Canis lupus familiaris: one gene and its partners. The protein of the gene in region 2 purifies or fractionates together with the protein of the main gene of each other region. This does not show direct contact. Links are inferred from orthologs where the notes say so. Each region holds a gene or a part of one and is shown on either strand. Other genes may lie near its edges. The genes, in order: JUP, CDH5 and CTNND1.

Region 1 (3,598 bases), on a different chromosome or scaffold from region 2:
TGCAGGATGCTGGTGGTGCAGCGGGCTGTGTCCAGGTCACTGGTGTTCTGCATAGTACGCACCACGGCTGCCACCAGCTGGGGCGAGCCCATCAGCGCCCGCCGTGACGCCTCTTTCTTGGACAGCTGGTTCACGATCATGGCTGCCTTGGTCACCACCACCTGAGGGGGACGGGGAGGGATGGGAAAAAGTGAGCAGAGGGGCCGGGCTGGCTGCCACCGTGAGATGGGGGGAGGAGGGCAAGTGACCCCCTCCACAAAGTTCAGAGGGACCCAGCTCAGACTCTCCCTGCTGATGGGGCCCTGCGTAGGGCCGGCCCCTGCGGACACCTGACCTCTCCCCTCTCTGCCCTGCCCCCACCCTGGCCAGGCCCCCCACGGACCGGGTCCTCGTCGTTGAGCAGTTTGGTGAGTTCAGGCAGGGCCCGGGTGGCCAGCTCGGCGTCGTCCTGGTAGTTGATGAGATGTACGATGGCTGACTTGAGCAGCTGGGACGGCTCGGCCAGCCGCTGCAGGTTGGTGGTCTGCCCTTCCACCTGGGTGGCCAGTAGCAGCGAGCTGTCTTCGCCTGTCACGCCAGGACACATGGCCTCCCGTACCCGCTTGGCTCTGGCTGTCGTGGACATTTGGTACTCCAGGTCACCTGGATGGGGGGGTGTCAACGGGGAGGGACTGAGTGGCAGGATGGGCAGGGGTGGGGGGGACACAGGGGGCAGGGCAGGCCTTGTAGACCGGGCTCTCTGGGCTGGCTCCCACCCCGACCAAAGCCCCAGCAGCACCACTTGTGATTCTGCCTCTAACCGGGGGAGGTCACCACCACCTCGTCATGTCAGCTGTAAAATGGGGCACCACCTGTTCTGTCCGTCACAGGGAATTTTTATAGGGAATTAAATGAGATAATAGTTGTAATTTGCTCTGAAAAGAAAGGATGTACTACACACATCACTACAAAAGTGTTAGTGAAGATTACTATCATGGGAACAGTTAAAAATTTTTGACCACTTACAAAGTGCTTAGCAGTGAATTAAACGTTTTTCTTATATTTTCTCATTTAATCTCATAATAACCCTAAAAGATAAATACTATTACTATCTCCATTTTACAGATGGGGAAACTGAAGCCCAGAGAGTTGTTTGGTTTTGTTGTTGTTGTTGTTTTCCTAGAAGCCCAAGCTGGGGTCTGAACTCAGACAGGCTGACTCCAGAGCCCAAACCCCAACCCTATGCCCCTCCCTTAACAATCAGGTTGGGGTAGCAGCAGACAACCCAGGTCTCCTTTCTTTGAGATCTCATGATTCTAATTATATCCTCATCATCTCCAAAGGAGGCAACTCTCCCATTATAGAGGCAAGCAAATAGAGGCCCAGAGGGCTACCCAGTATCATACAGCAGATCAGAGGGAAAGGTGGGAGTGTGGGTTTCAGAAGGCAGGAGGTGGGTTCTTAGCTAAGACTCCGGGTTCCACCCCCTGGGTGGGTCCAGGAGCCCCACAAATAGGTGCCCAAACTTCCCAGGCAGCCTGGCCCTGGCAAGTGTCCCGATGCCCTGAGGAGAAAGAGGCAGAGGTTCCACCCTCCAATTAGTCAGGAAGGAGGAGACACCCACACAGCTTTCCCACCTGGAATGCTGTACTTTTAGCTACCAACACAATGCCTGGTTCTCCCTGCCTGCTGTCAGGGAGGAGAGCCCCGGGCGGAGGCTGAGTTCTGAAGGGCCTCCACCTGTCACAGCCCGCCCCATACCTTTCCCAGCTCCCACAGCTCATCCTGTTCAGTGTTCGGGGCCCGGGAGGCACCCGTGGACAGCAGTCCTAGGGCTCGGATACCCTTCTCCCCCAGAGAGGCCAGCGCCCTAGCTGGTGAGGCATCCCCTGCTGCCAGAGGCCCAGAGCTGGGAGCCCGAACTGGGTCGTCACTCTGCCACCTGGCCACAACCTACCTGTAGGTCTCCTCCTACCCTCGTCAGGAGCCCTGCCTCCCCGTCAAACTTGGGGCCCCTGGAGCAAAAGGACCATCTTCCCCAATCGTCCATGGGCCTCTTGAGGGCAACAGTGACACCTTGTCATTACACTGTAAGCTCATCGAGGGTAAGGACCCTGCCTTCAGACTTTGCTTCTCCCTCCATACGAGAAGTTCAAGGAAGAGGAATCTGCCGCCCTCTCAGATGGGGGCAACCCTGAAGTAGCTGTGCCTCCTCCCTCAGACAGGAGCTCCCATTGTCTGCCTCCTTTTGCCCTGACCTTCCTCCAGGCCCCAGACTGGTTTTCTGCTGAAGTATTTCCATGGAATAGTTTCCCTGAACGAGTCCCCGGGGCTCCTGACCTTGGCTCTGGGGCACCTGGGTATAGGTGGTGGTCTTCTTGAGCGTGTACTGACGCCCGCAGGCCTCATCCTCTTCCATGATGCCCTTGCTGCTGACCGAGGGCACACAGGTGTTGGCACCCGAGTGAATGCCAGAGTCATAGGTGTATGTCTGTTGCCACTCAGTCACTTTGATGGGTTGTTCAATCAGGTTCATCACTTCCATGATGGCTGCTGGGGACACAAAGGAAGGCAGGAAATTAGCTGGCTCCAGTGAGGCAGCCCATCATCATCTGGCCCAGCCCCGGCTTCAGCCCATTCCCAGGCCCAGGGAGGGAATCCCCACCGTGGGGTGGGATACCCTAGGGTGAGTCCAGGGCTTAGATCGCTTACCTCCAGCCCAGGATGGAGCACACCCCAGGGGGCGTGGGGCAGTAAAGAGCCAGATGCCCCAACCTAGCCCTGGGCTTGCTCATCTTGCTCTCCCCAGGCCCACACTCTCTGAGCAAAAGGTACCCAGGGCCTCCAGCAGGTTCTGGGATCCCACAGACCCACCCCCCCCCATCCACTAGGGCTCTCTGGGAAAGTCTATGGTGAGGCAGCTACACCCCAAGCATCGGACAGGAAACTGGGTGGGGCAGGGAAGCAGTCAGACGGGTTTCTCTGGAGAGCCCTGGAGGCTGCTAGGAGCAGTCAGAGGCTCCCTTGGAGACTCCAGGATCTCAAGGATCTTTCCTGAAGATGGGGCAGGATCACAAGTGACCCCAGAGGCCCAAGCTCTAAGATCCCTGTCTCTCCGGCACCCCAGGTCTTAGAAGCCTTTTCTGGAATTCTGAGCCCCATCGACCAGTTCGAAATACCAGCCACATATGACTGGACCAATTCACTTCTCTGCAGAACCCAACCCTCATTTGCAAAATATGGATAACACCACCACCACCACCACCCCCCCCCCCGCAGGTTGTTATGAAGGCCAGATTTGTAAAGGACCCAGCCGGGTGCCAGGTACATAGTGGGTGCTGGGTGTTGGTGGCCGGCCACCTATCAGCGGTGCCTCTCCCTCAGTGGGGGGTTCCCACTTCCTGTCTTTGTAGAACCCAGGCTAAGATAAGGGGTGAGGCAGGCCTCAGGAGGGGTTGCTGCTATTCAGGCACCCCTCCATCTCTCTGCAGAGACGTGGGGGCACTTGAGGTGCATGAATTGCTGGGCCGTACTGTGTACCAGGGTGGTGGACTCTTACTTGGTCTGTTTGGCTTCCCTGTCTCGGGAGCTGACCCCTGAGTCCCACCCCTGGGAGGAG
Region 2 (4,053 bases):
CTGCAGGGTCCCTGCCTCCCCTCCTCCCAGTGCCTGTGCCTGCCAGGATCTGACTCTTACTGTGTCCCAAGGCAGACAATCTGGAGGTCCCTGAATGAGTTTAGGGAACATTTGGTCCATGCCTTGCCCTTGAGAGGTTAGAAGACTGAAGGTCGGAGAGCAGACCTAAGACCTCTCCATATTCCTCCTCCAGGAAGCCTTTCGAAAATTTTCCATCCAACATCTGGGACTTGGGTTAGGATGGACTTTTTAGTATCCTCTAGCCAGAAGCTAAGCTCCTCAGGGTAGAACCTGTCTCCTAGAACATTCCTTCCAGGATCTTTAGGCCCCTGGCTTGTCCTCCTGCCTGATTGTGTGGCTTAAATGGTCAGGTTTAACCCTCCCTGACTTATCCTCTCTCCGAGCTTCACTCTGGAGTGTGGTGGGACTGTGGGTCAGAGGGGCTGGCCTCACTCCTATTTTGCTTCCATCTCACGCTTTCTGTGTAACCTGGGACTGGTTGCTTGATCTCTCTTAGCTCCCTGGTCCCCTTTGTCAAATAGGAATTGTTTTAGTAGCTTCAAGGATGCCGGGTGGCGGGGGGGTGGAGGTGGAGAGAGGTGCTGGCAGTAGCAGGGATGGGTCCCTGTAGGCAAGAAACCGAAGATTTTTCTAGAGCGAGTGGCCACTGTGTTCACCTTGTGTCCCCAAGGCAGCAGCAGCAGCAGGGCTGTGAGTCAGCCAACTTTGAGAGAAAATCCGTGTGGCCCCTCTGGTTTCCTGCCCCCATGTCCGGCCCTTGTTTCGCAGCACAATTGGTCAGGTTGAAACTGTGGGGTGGACAGCTTAACCCCTGCAAGGCCAGTGGACGCCTCCCCTGCTGCCTTACAATGGAATTGGCAGGGCTGCCCGGGGGCTCAGCAGCTCGTGGGTCCCTTGCAGGTTACCCGCTGCCCTCCAGGCTAGGGCCCAAAGGTGGCTGGTCTCCGCTGCTCCCCACCACCCGAAGGTGAGCCAGAGGCCCTGGTCCTGGCACTCATGGCCTCCAGTGTCCCCTGTGGCCACACCAGCCTTCATGAGTCCTCTGAGCTACCCAGGCTTCCTGCCTCTGTGGAGCCCTTCATCTCTTGTGGGATCCCATCTGTCCCCCTCACACAGCAGCATCATCCATGGGGTAGCTTGGTGAGGAGTGCCTACCAGGAGAAGGGTTGAGTCCACATCCTCTCTGTTGCACCCACCTCCACCCACTGGGGACTGACTGACCCAGGGTCAAAAACGTTACGACATTTATGGCTCTGGGGGAGTGGGTAAATTCAGCTGTGATTTCTTGAAGATCCCCCTTCTGTGAGCCCTTCCTGGCGCCAGTCCTGGTGTGTACATTGCCTCCTTTAATGGACTCGTGAAGACTATTTTCCTCTGGTTTAAAGATGAGAATGCTGAGACATGGAGGAGCTCCTTGGTGCTGAGAAGGGTCTGGGATCTGGGCTTTGGGGTCCTGATCCTGGCTCAGATCCCCACTCTTGCTCTTTCTTTGCCCAATCTCAGTTGCCTCCCTTGAGGAACAGAGAAAGGACGCATCGAACTTATGGATTCATTGGCAGTAGTGGAATCATGAGCTCCATCAGTTAGACCCTTTTATCCTGATCACCTCCAGTTTCCATGATGGCTGGCATGAGTCCCTGTCCCATTGTTCAGACAAGCACACAGAGGTTTGGAGGTGCTGAGTAATTTTCCCAAAGCAGCATGGGAAGGAGCTAGATCTGTGGATCTCACCCTAAACTGCTTGCTTTCAAGTCTTTTGGGGGGACTTCCCTAAAATATGAGGCCTGTGAGGTCCCAACCTTGGGGCATCCAGGTGGGCTGCCTTCCTCACTGTAGCTCCCATGGTCCTGTAGGCTCCTGTAGGCTCCCATAAGCTCCCGTAGGCTCCCATAGGCTCCCGTAGGCTCCCGTACGCTCCCATAGGCTCCTATAGGCTCCTGTAGGCTCCCATAGGCTCCTGTAGGCCCCTGTAGGCTCCCGTAGGCTCCCATAGGCTCCCATAGGCTCCTGTAGGCTTCCATAGGCTCCTATAGACTCCTGTAGGCTCCCATAGGCTCCCATAGCTCAAACGTGGCCCCTGCAGTGTCCAGGGCAGGGAGGGGAGGGATCCGTAGGGCCTCAGGTGCCCGGATCCTAGCCTCGGCTTGCCTATTCTAACAGTGGGGGTACTGGCTGACAGAGAGGGCCCAGGGCTCAGAGCTCCCCTTCCAGGGCTCCTCTCCTGATGCCAGCTCACAACTTTGGCAGGAGGGATGATGTCAGGCCATGGAGGAGGGCCACCCTAGGGAGACTAGGCCTGGGGTTGGTCCTCTACCTCTGGTGTGCTGGCACCTCAGACAGACTCTCGCCCTCTCTGATCATGGCACCGATGGAAGCCACTGGGCCTTCCAGTCACACAGGGGTGGAGAGTCTACATGTGGAAGAGCCACATCGTTAGCCCTTGATCCTGAGAATGCCCGTCTGTGTCTATGGCACCGCCGCTAGGTGCGCTTTCCCAGCCCTGCTTTGAGCCATGGTCTGCCCCCCAAGAATGGCTCTTGCCTGGGGCCCTGACGACGGCCACTTTCCATACCGGGAAGCCAGACATCCTCTCAGCGTGGGCACATGCCCCGAGTCTGGGGTGGAATGGGGTGCGGGGATTCCTCACTCACCGTGCTCGCGGGCTCAGAGGTGTCCTCGTTCCCTCTGACGGTCCGGCTGGGGCTGAGCTGGTGTGGAGCTCTGTGGAGCTCAGCCGATAGCTTCTGAGGGGAGCCACACCCGGCCGACTAGGGAGGCCTGGCTGCCGCCCCTTCAGGTTTTCCAGCTGGCCCTGGCCCACTTCCCCCTGGGATGGTTTCCTGTTATTGTTCCTTTGTGAGGGCCGGGCTGGCTGCAGATAGGCAGGCCCTGTGGTGGGCGGCTGCCTCGGCCCCGCCAGGCTGTCCTCACAGAGGCCCAGGCCTGGATCCGACCCGGGACGCCCAACTCAGACCCCAACCCCAGGCCCCAACCCTGGGCCCAGCACTCACCACAGTCCTTAGTTCATCCTCCTTGTAACTCTGAGGGCAGGTGTCATCACCCCCTGTGATAACTCAGAGCACTGAGAGTCTCCAAGTGCTCATCTACCCAGCCAGGGGGTAGCAGAGCCAGAAGTCCAGCCTGGGTCAGCCCGGGCCAGGAGCCAGATTTTCCCAGGTGACCCGTGACATGCTGGAAGGGCGGCAGACTGCGGGTGATGGGGAGGCTTCAGGGCCTTTGGGGGTGGGGTGGGTGGGAGATGGGAAACCAGCTCTTAGCTCCGGAGGGCCAGCCAGGTTGGCCTCTCCCTGATGGAGGGGGGCATGGGTTCTAGCTCTAAGGTAGCAGCCAGGGTTTGGAGGTGGGGGCATTTGAGTTTGGGAATATCAAGTGGAGTCAAGCGCCCTAGCTCTGCTTCTGTTGTGACTGCGGAGCCAGTCATGTCCCCCCATTGCCCGGTTCCCTCATCTGTAAGTGGGGATAATCAGAGCCTCAGCCTCACATGGTGGTTGAGATTAACAAGAGTTAGAATGAAGCTGAAGGTGGGATCAGTCCATCAGAACCAAGCAGCTGGGGGTAGGATGGGCTCAGATTCTGTGAATTTTGAGTCCTAGGAGGAGCTTTTAGAAACTGCAGATCCTGGGGCCCTGTTCCAGCTCAACTGATGTGGACTCTCCCAGCGTGAGCAATGGGAATCCGTCCTCTGAATGGTTGCCTCTTCCCATGGGTGAGTGGTTGGGAAGTCCCAAACTTGTTCCTTTATACGACTGAACCAACAGAGACCTGAGGGGAAGCATCTTGCCCAGGAGCACTCAGTAAATCTGTAGATGTGAGTACGGAGATGGGGGACAGAGTAGGAGAATATTTTTTGGGAAGGGGAGCTCAGGATTTCTCTGTTTCAGGCACGTTGAGTTTGAGATGGCTTTATTTATTTTTGGTTTATCTATTTATTTTAAAGATTTTATTTATTTGACAAGAGAGAGTACATGTGTGTGCATGAGCCAGCACAGGCAGGGGGAGCAGCGGAGGGAG
Region 3 (4,367 bases), on a different chromosome or scaffold from region 2:
TGTGGCTTGTGCTATATTGGATGTCAAGGACAAACTCTCCAGAGACTTTGGCATTTAAGTTGAAATATGAATGGGAAGAAGCAGCCAACATAGGAATATAGGAGCAGGGGATCCCTGGGTGGCGCAGTGGTTTGGCGCCTGCCTTTGGCCCAGGGCGCGATCCTGGAGACCCGGGATCGAATCCCACATCGGGCTCCCGGTGCATGGAGCCTGCTTCTCCCTCTGCCTGTGTCTCTGCACCTCTCTCTCTCTGTGACTATCATAAATAAATAAAAATTTAAAAAAAAAAAAAAAAAAAAAAAAAAAAAAAAAAAAAAAAGGAATATAGGAGCAATGGTAACTACTAATGCCAAAGCCCCCAAGTGTGAGGCTGAAACTTGTGGGATCCAGCACAGTATCAAAATGAGGGAGGGAATGGTAGAAATATGAAGAATTCCACAGGTTAGAGATTTGATTAAACTATTTTCAGGTAGAAGGAAGTCTGTGAGTGTTTTCAACAGCAGAGTGACATGATCTAACTCAGATTTTGAAAAGATCTTAGATGACAAATGGATAAAAGAGGGCGCAAGGGTGAAAGCAAGGAAATTAGTTTGAAGGTCAAGTTGCAGTAATATGGAGTTAACTACAGTAGTAGCAGTAAAAATAGAGAGAAGTCAACAGATTAAGGATATGTTTAGAGATATAAGGTGGGGGAGAGAGAGAGGCAGAGACACAGGCAGAGGGAGAAGCAGGCCCCATGCCAGGAGCCCGATGTGGGACTCGATCCTGGCTCTCCAGGATCAATCACACCCTGGGCTGAAGGCAGCACTAAACCGCTGAGCCACCCAAGGATCCCCAATAAGGTGTTTTTTTATTTCAAGGTGGGTTTTTTTTCTTTCCTGTTTTTTTTTTTTTTAAGATTTATTTATTCGTAAGAGACACACAGAGAGAGAGAGAGAGAGAGGCAGAGACATGGGCAGAGGGAGAAGCAGGCTCCCTGCGGGGAGCCCAATGGGGACCCCATCCCAGGACCTCAGAATCATGACCTGAGCCAAAGACAGACCCTGAACCACCAAGCCACCCAGGCGTCCCTTCTTTGATTTTGTTTTGTTTTTAACAAACGGAATGAATGTTACATTCAGTGCTCAGTTTTCAACTCTCAAACTTTATCTCCCCTCCAACATCCATCACATGCTTAACATACAAAGATACGATAAAATAGTAAAAAATTAGGGAAGAGTTGGGAAATAATATTGAATTCAAAAAAGAAAAAAAAAGAAATATTAAAAATAAAGTAATAAAATAAAAATAAAAGAAATATTAAAATTATCATGTAGGGCTGAGTGCTGTGCTGTCTCCACTCCTAAAATAGCCAAAACCATAAATGCCAAGGAGAAGAAACGGGGGAAAAAAAAAAATCAACTTCAAAAAGCACTGGCTATCCATACAAAGGAAGACAAAATATTTTTACTCGTTTCTACCCTCTGGTGGCTACACATTACCATCGAATGTTGTCATTTTTAAAGCCCTTGGTAGGATGGCCATTTATCTTCCCCTTTAGAAATTCCACTATCACAAGATTTATCTAAATGGTGTTGAATTAAAAAAAAAAAAAAAGAAAAGGGGAGCACCTGGGTGGCTCAGATGGTTAAGCACCTGCCTTCAGCTCAGGTCATGATCTCCAGGTCCTGGGATCAAGCCCCACATCCGGCTCCCTGTTCAGCAGGGAGTCTGCTTCTCCCTCTCCCTCTCTATCTCCTCCTGCTTGTGCTCTCTGTCATTCTCTCAAATGAATAAATTAAAAATCTTAAAGAAAAGAAAAGAAGAAAAGAAAGAAAAGAAAAGAAAAGAAAGAAAAGAAAAGAAAGAAAAGAAAAGAAAAGAAAAGAGAAAGAAAAGAAAAGAAAAGAAAAGAAAAGAAGGGTCTCTGGGTGGCTCAGGGTGTGATTCCAGGATCCGACACTGAGTTCCGCATCGGGCTCCCTGCGAGGAACCTGCTTCTCCCTCTGCCTGTGTCTCTGCCTCTCTCTCTCTCTCTGTCTCTCATGAATAAATAAATAAAAGCTTTTTTAAAAAAGAAAGAATGAATGAAAGAAAGAAACCAAGAAGTGAGTCCTCTCTATTTCTTGAAAATTAATATAATCCTAATAACAATAAATTCATGGGGGGGATATAATATTTCTATTTTTCTTATGACAGATGCCATAAACACTGCTCTGCCTTTTTTTTTTTTGCTTGCGTGTGTCCTCCTTCTGCTTTTACGTCCTTTCACAAACTGCTTCCCCTTCAAAACATTAACTGCAGCCGAAAATGTCTTCTGCTCCTTGATCTTTTTTCCACGTTGAGAACAGAAGCCTAGAAAATTATTACCTGACTTGGAAATGCACCCCGCCTCCCATATTTAAGTCAACCTTCTCAAATTCTTTAAAAATAATTTATTACAGTGACGCCTGGGTGGCTGAGCGGTTGAGCGTCTGCCTTAGGCTCAGGTCGTGATCCGGGGGTCCTGGGATCGAGTCCCACATTGGGGTCCCCGCAGGGAGCCTACTCCTCCCTCTGCCTGTGTCTCTGCCCCTCTCTGGATGTCGCTCATGAATAAATAAAATATCTTAAAAACATAGTTAATTGTAGTATCATCGACATACCCCTCAAAGCCTCTTGGAAAAGACGTTAGATACCAACAGAGACCTATTTGAGCGCATTGCACTGCTCACCTCAGCACTCTGGTCCGTTCTGTGCAGGTTCCCCTTCTCCCGAGCATCTTCGGCTCTGCCTCCCGTTGGCCTCAGTGGCAGCTGCCCCGCTTTAGTTCACCGCACTCCATCCCCGGTGGCTTTGGCCTTGACCATCTTCGTCTAGAGAGCCGTGGCGGGGCATCTCACGGGAGCCAGGCCCCAGGTCCTAACACATACAACGGGTAAGAACCAATGTCCGGGTTCATTGTCATGTCATGTGGGCTGACATTCTCTCTAAATGTTTAATCCTGAAATCACTTACTTTTTTTTTTTTTTTTTTTTTTTTTTTAACCTCACCCCTGAAAATAGTTGTTTCCAGTCAGGAAGTGCACTAACTAGATCATCCCTGGAAGGACACCGGAGGCCGCTCCGCACGGGAAGTACTGCAACCCCCTCGGTCACGCCCGGTCTCGGAGATTTAGGGGGGACTGGAATCTCTGAAATGCCTACACCCAGGCACTAACCCCAAGGCCTCGCTGGCGAACATCCGTAGCCTGAGGAGCTTTCGAGAGCGGAGAGGCCCGACCGAGGCGCAAGGGGAGCCCCCCGGGGAGCCTGGAGCGCTCTCACAGGCCAGGGCCACTTACTGGCAGCCTCCTCAAAGGGAAGGCAGTGGTGTCCTGCAGCCGCCCGGGAGCCCGCCCTACGGGGCATCCTCGCCCGCTTCTCACCGGGGTTTCGTCGGGCGCCGAGGGAGAGGGCAGCCCCGGGAGGACCCGTCCGGGCAGGCCCGCCCGCCCGCCTACCTCTCGCAGCCCGTCTTAGCGCGGCCTTCAAGTCGCTCGAGACTTAGCCTCCCGCCCAAAGTGCTGCGGCCCCTGTGATTGGCCGTCCGACGAGCCTTCGGCCAATGGGGATGACGTGTTCGGGCAGACGTCAGCAGGGGGGCTGGGGGAGGAGGAAGGACGTCGGGCCCCGCGACGCGCCGTGCGCGAGGACGGCGGCGCGAGCTGTGTGGCGCGGGCCGCGTGGCCTCAGGCCCTCGCTGTCACCGCCTCCCGGTGCAGGCGGCTGGCGGGGCCCGCGGCGGTACGAGGGCGCCAGGGGGTGGCTGCAAAGCCCGTGCGGCCTTGGCTGGTGGTGCCCGCGAGCCCTGAATTCGGGCCTCCGGGGTCCCCACGCTCCATTCCCAGAAACCTTCGCGCCGAGAGGTCTCTCTTGAAAGGAGTTGGGCCGGGGCGCCCGGAGCGTGCGGGACGGGACGCCCAGCATTGCAGGGCCTGCCCTGAAGCCCAGCTTTCTCCGCCAGCCCCGATTCCTCGGCTCTGGACGGGGAGACCCTCAGGCCGTTGGCCCACCTGCGCTGCTTTGCTAAACCTCCCCGCGCGAGGCTGGGCTTGGGGAGGAAGCAAGGCAGGCTGGGCAGAGGACCCAAGCACCGAGAGGTCGCCAAGCGCAGCTCCGACTGCACAGCTCGTCCAGGTCGGGTCTCGGGGCCAGGCCGGCTGCTGGTGGGTTGGGAAGCTTCCCCGGAGCCTATGTGTGGGGCCTCGCGAGAGCCATCCTCTGCCCCCACCCCCCCTTCTCTGGCTGAAATTGGAATTGAGCCTACCCTTTCTTCATTAACCTTTCCATTCTCTTCTTTCCTGATAGTTTGACGGGAGCTGTTCAGATCCTCGGTGCCACCTGACAGAAAACTGCATGTCAGGAAAG

The links.
Region 1: the proteins of CDH5 (region 2) and JUP purify together in Homo sapiens (affinity purification with western blotting; 3 studies listed by BioGRID and IntAct, with this or other methods). This does not show direct contact. The link is inferred for Canis lupus familiaris from reciprocal best matches to the Homo sapiens genes CDH5 and JUP.
Region 3: the proteins of CDH5 (region 2) and CTNND1 purify together in Homo sapiens (affinity purification with western blotting; 3 studies listed by BioGRID and IntAct, counting the BioPlex papers as one, with this or other methods). This does not show direct contact. The link is inferred for Canis lupus familiaris from reciprocal best matches to the Homo sapiens genes CDH5 and CTNND1.

Annotation. Positions count from the first base shown.
Region 1 is NC_049230.1:20,915,341-20,918,938, reverse strand, and holds part of JUP (junction plakoglobin), read right to left. Parts: intron 2,533-3,598; 5' UTR 2,525-2,532; coding exon 2,320-2,524; intron 643-2,319; coding exon 383-642; intron 162-382; coding exon 1-161. UniProt on the Homo sapiens protein: Common junctional plaque protein. The membrane-associated plaques are architectural elements in an important strategic position to influence the arrangement and function of both the cytoskeleton and the cells within the tissue.
Region 2 is NC_049226.1:83,446,670-83,450,722, forward strand, and holds the start of CDH5 (cadherin-5), read right to left. Parts: upstream 2,832-4,053; 5' UTR 2,673-2,831; intron 1-2,672. UniProt on the Homo sapiens protein: Cadherins are calcium-dependent cell adhesion proteins. They preferentially interact with themselves in a homophilic manner in connecting cells; cadherins may thus contribute to the sorting of heterogeneous cell types.
Region 3 is NC_049239.1:38,935,615-38,939,981, forward strand, and holds the start of CTNND1 (catenin delta-1), read right to left. Parts: upstream 2,881-4,367; 5' UTR 2,694-2,880; intron 1-2,693. UniProt on the Homo sapiens protein: Key regulator of cell-cell adhesion that associates with and regulates the cell adhesion properties of both C-, E- and N-cadherins, being critical for their surface stability.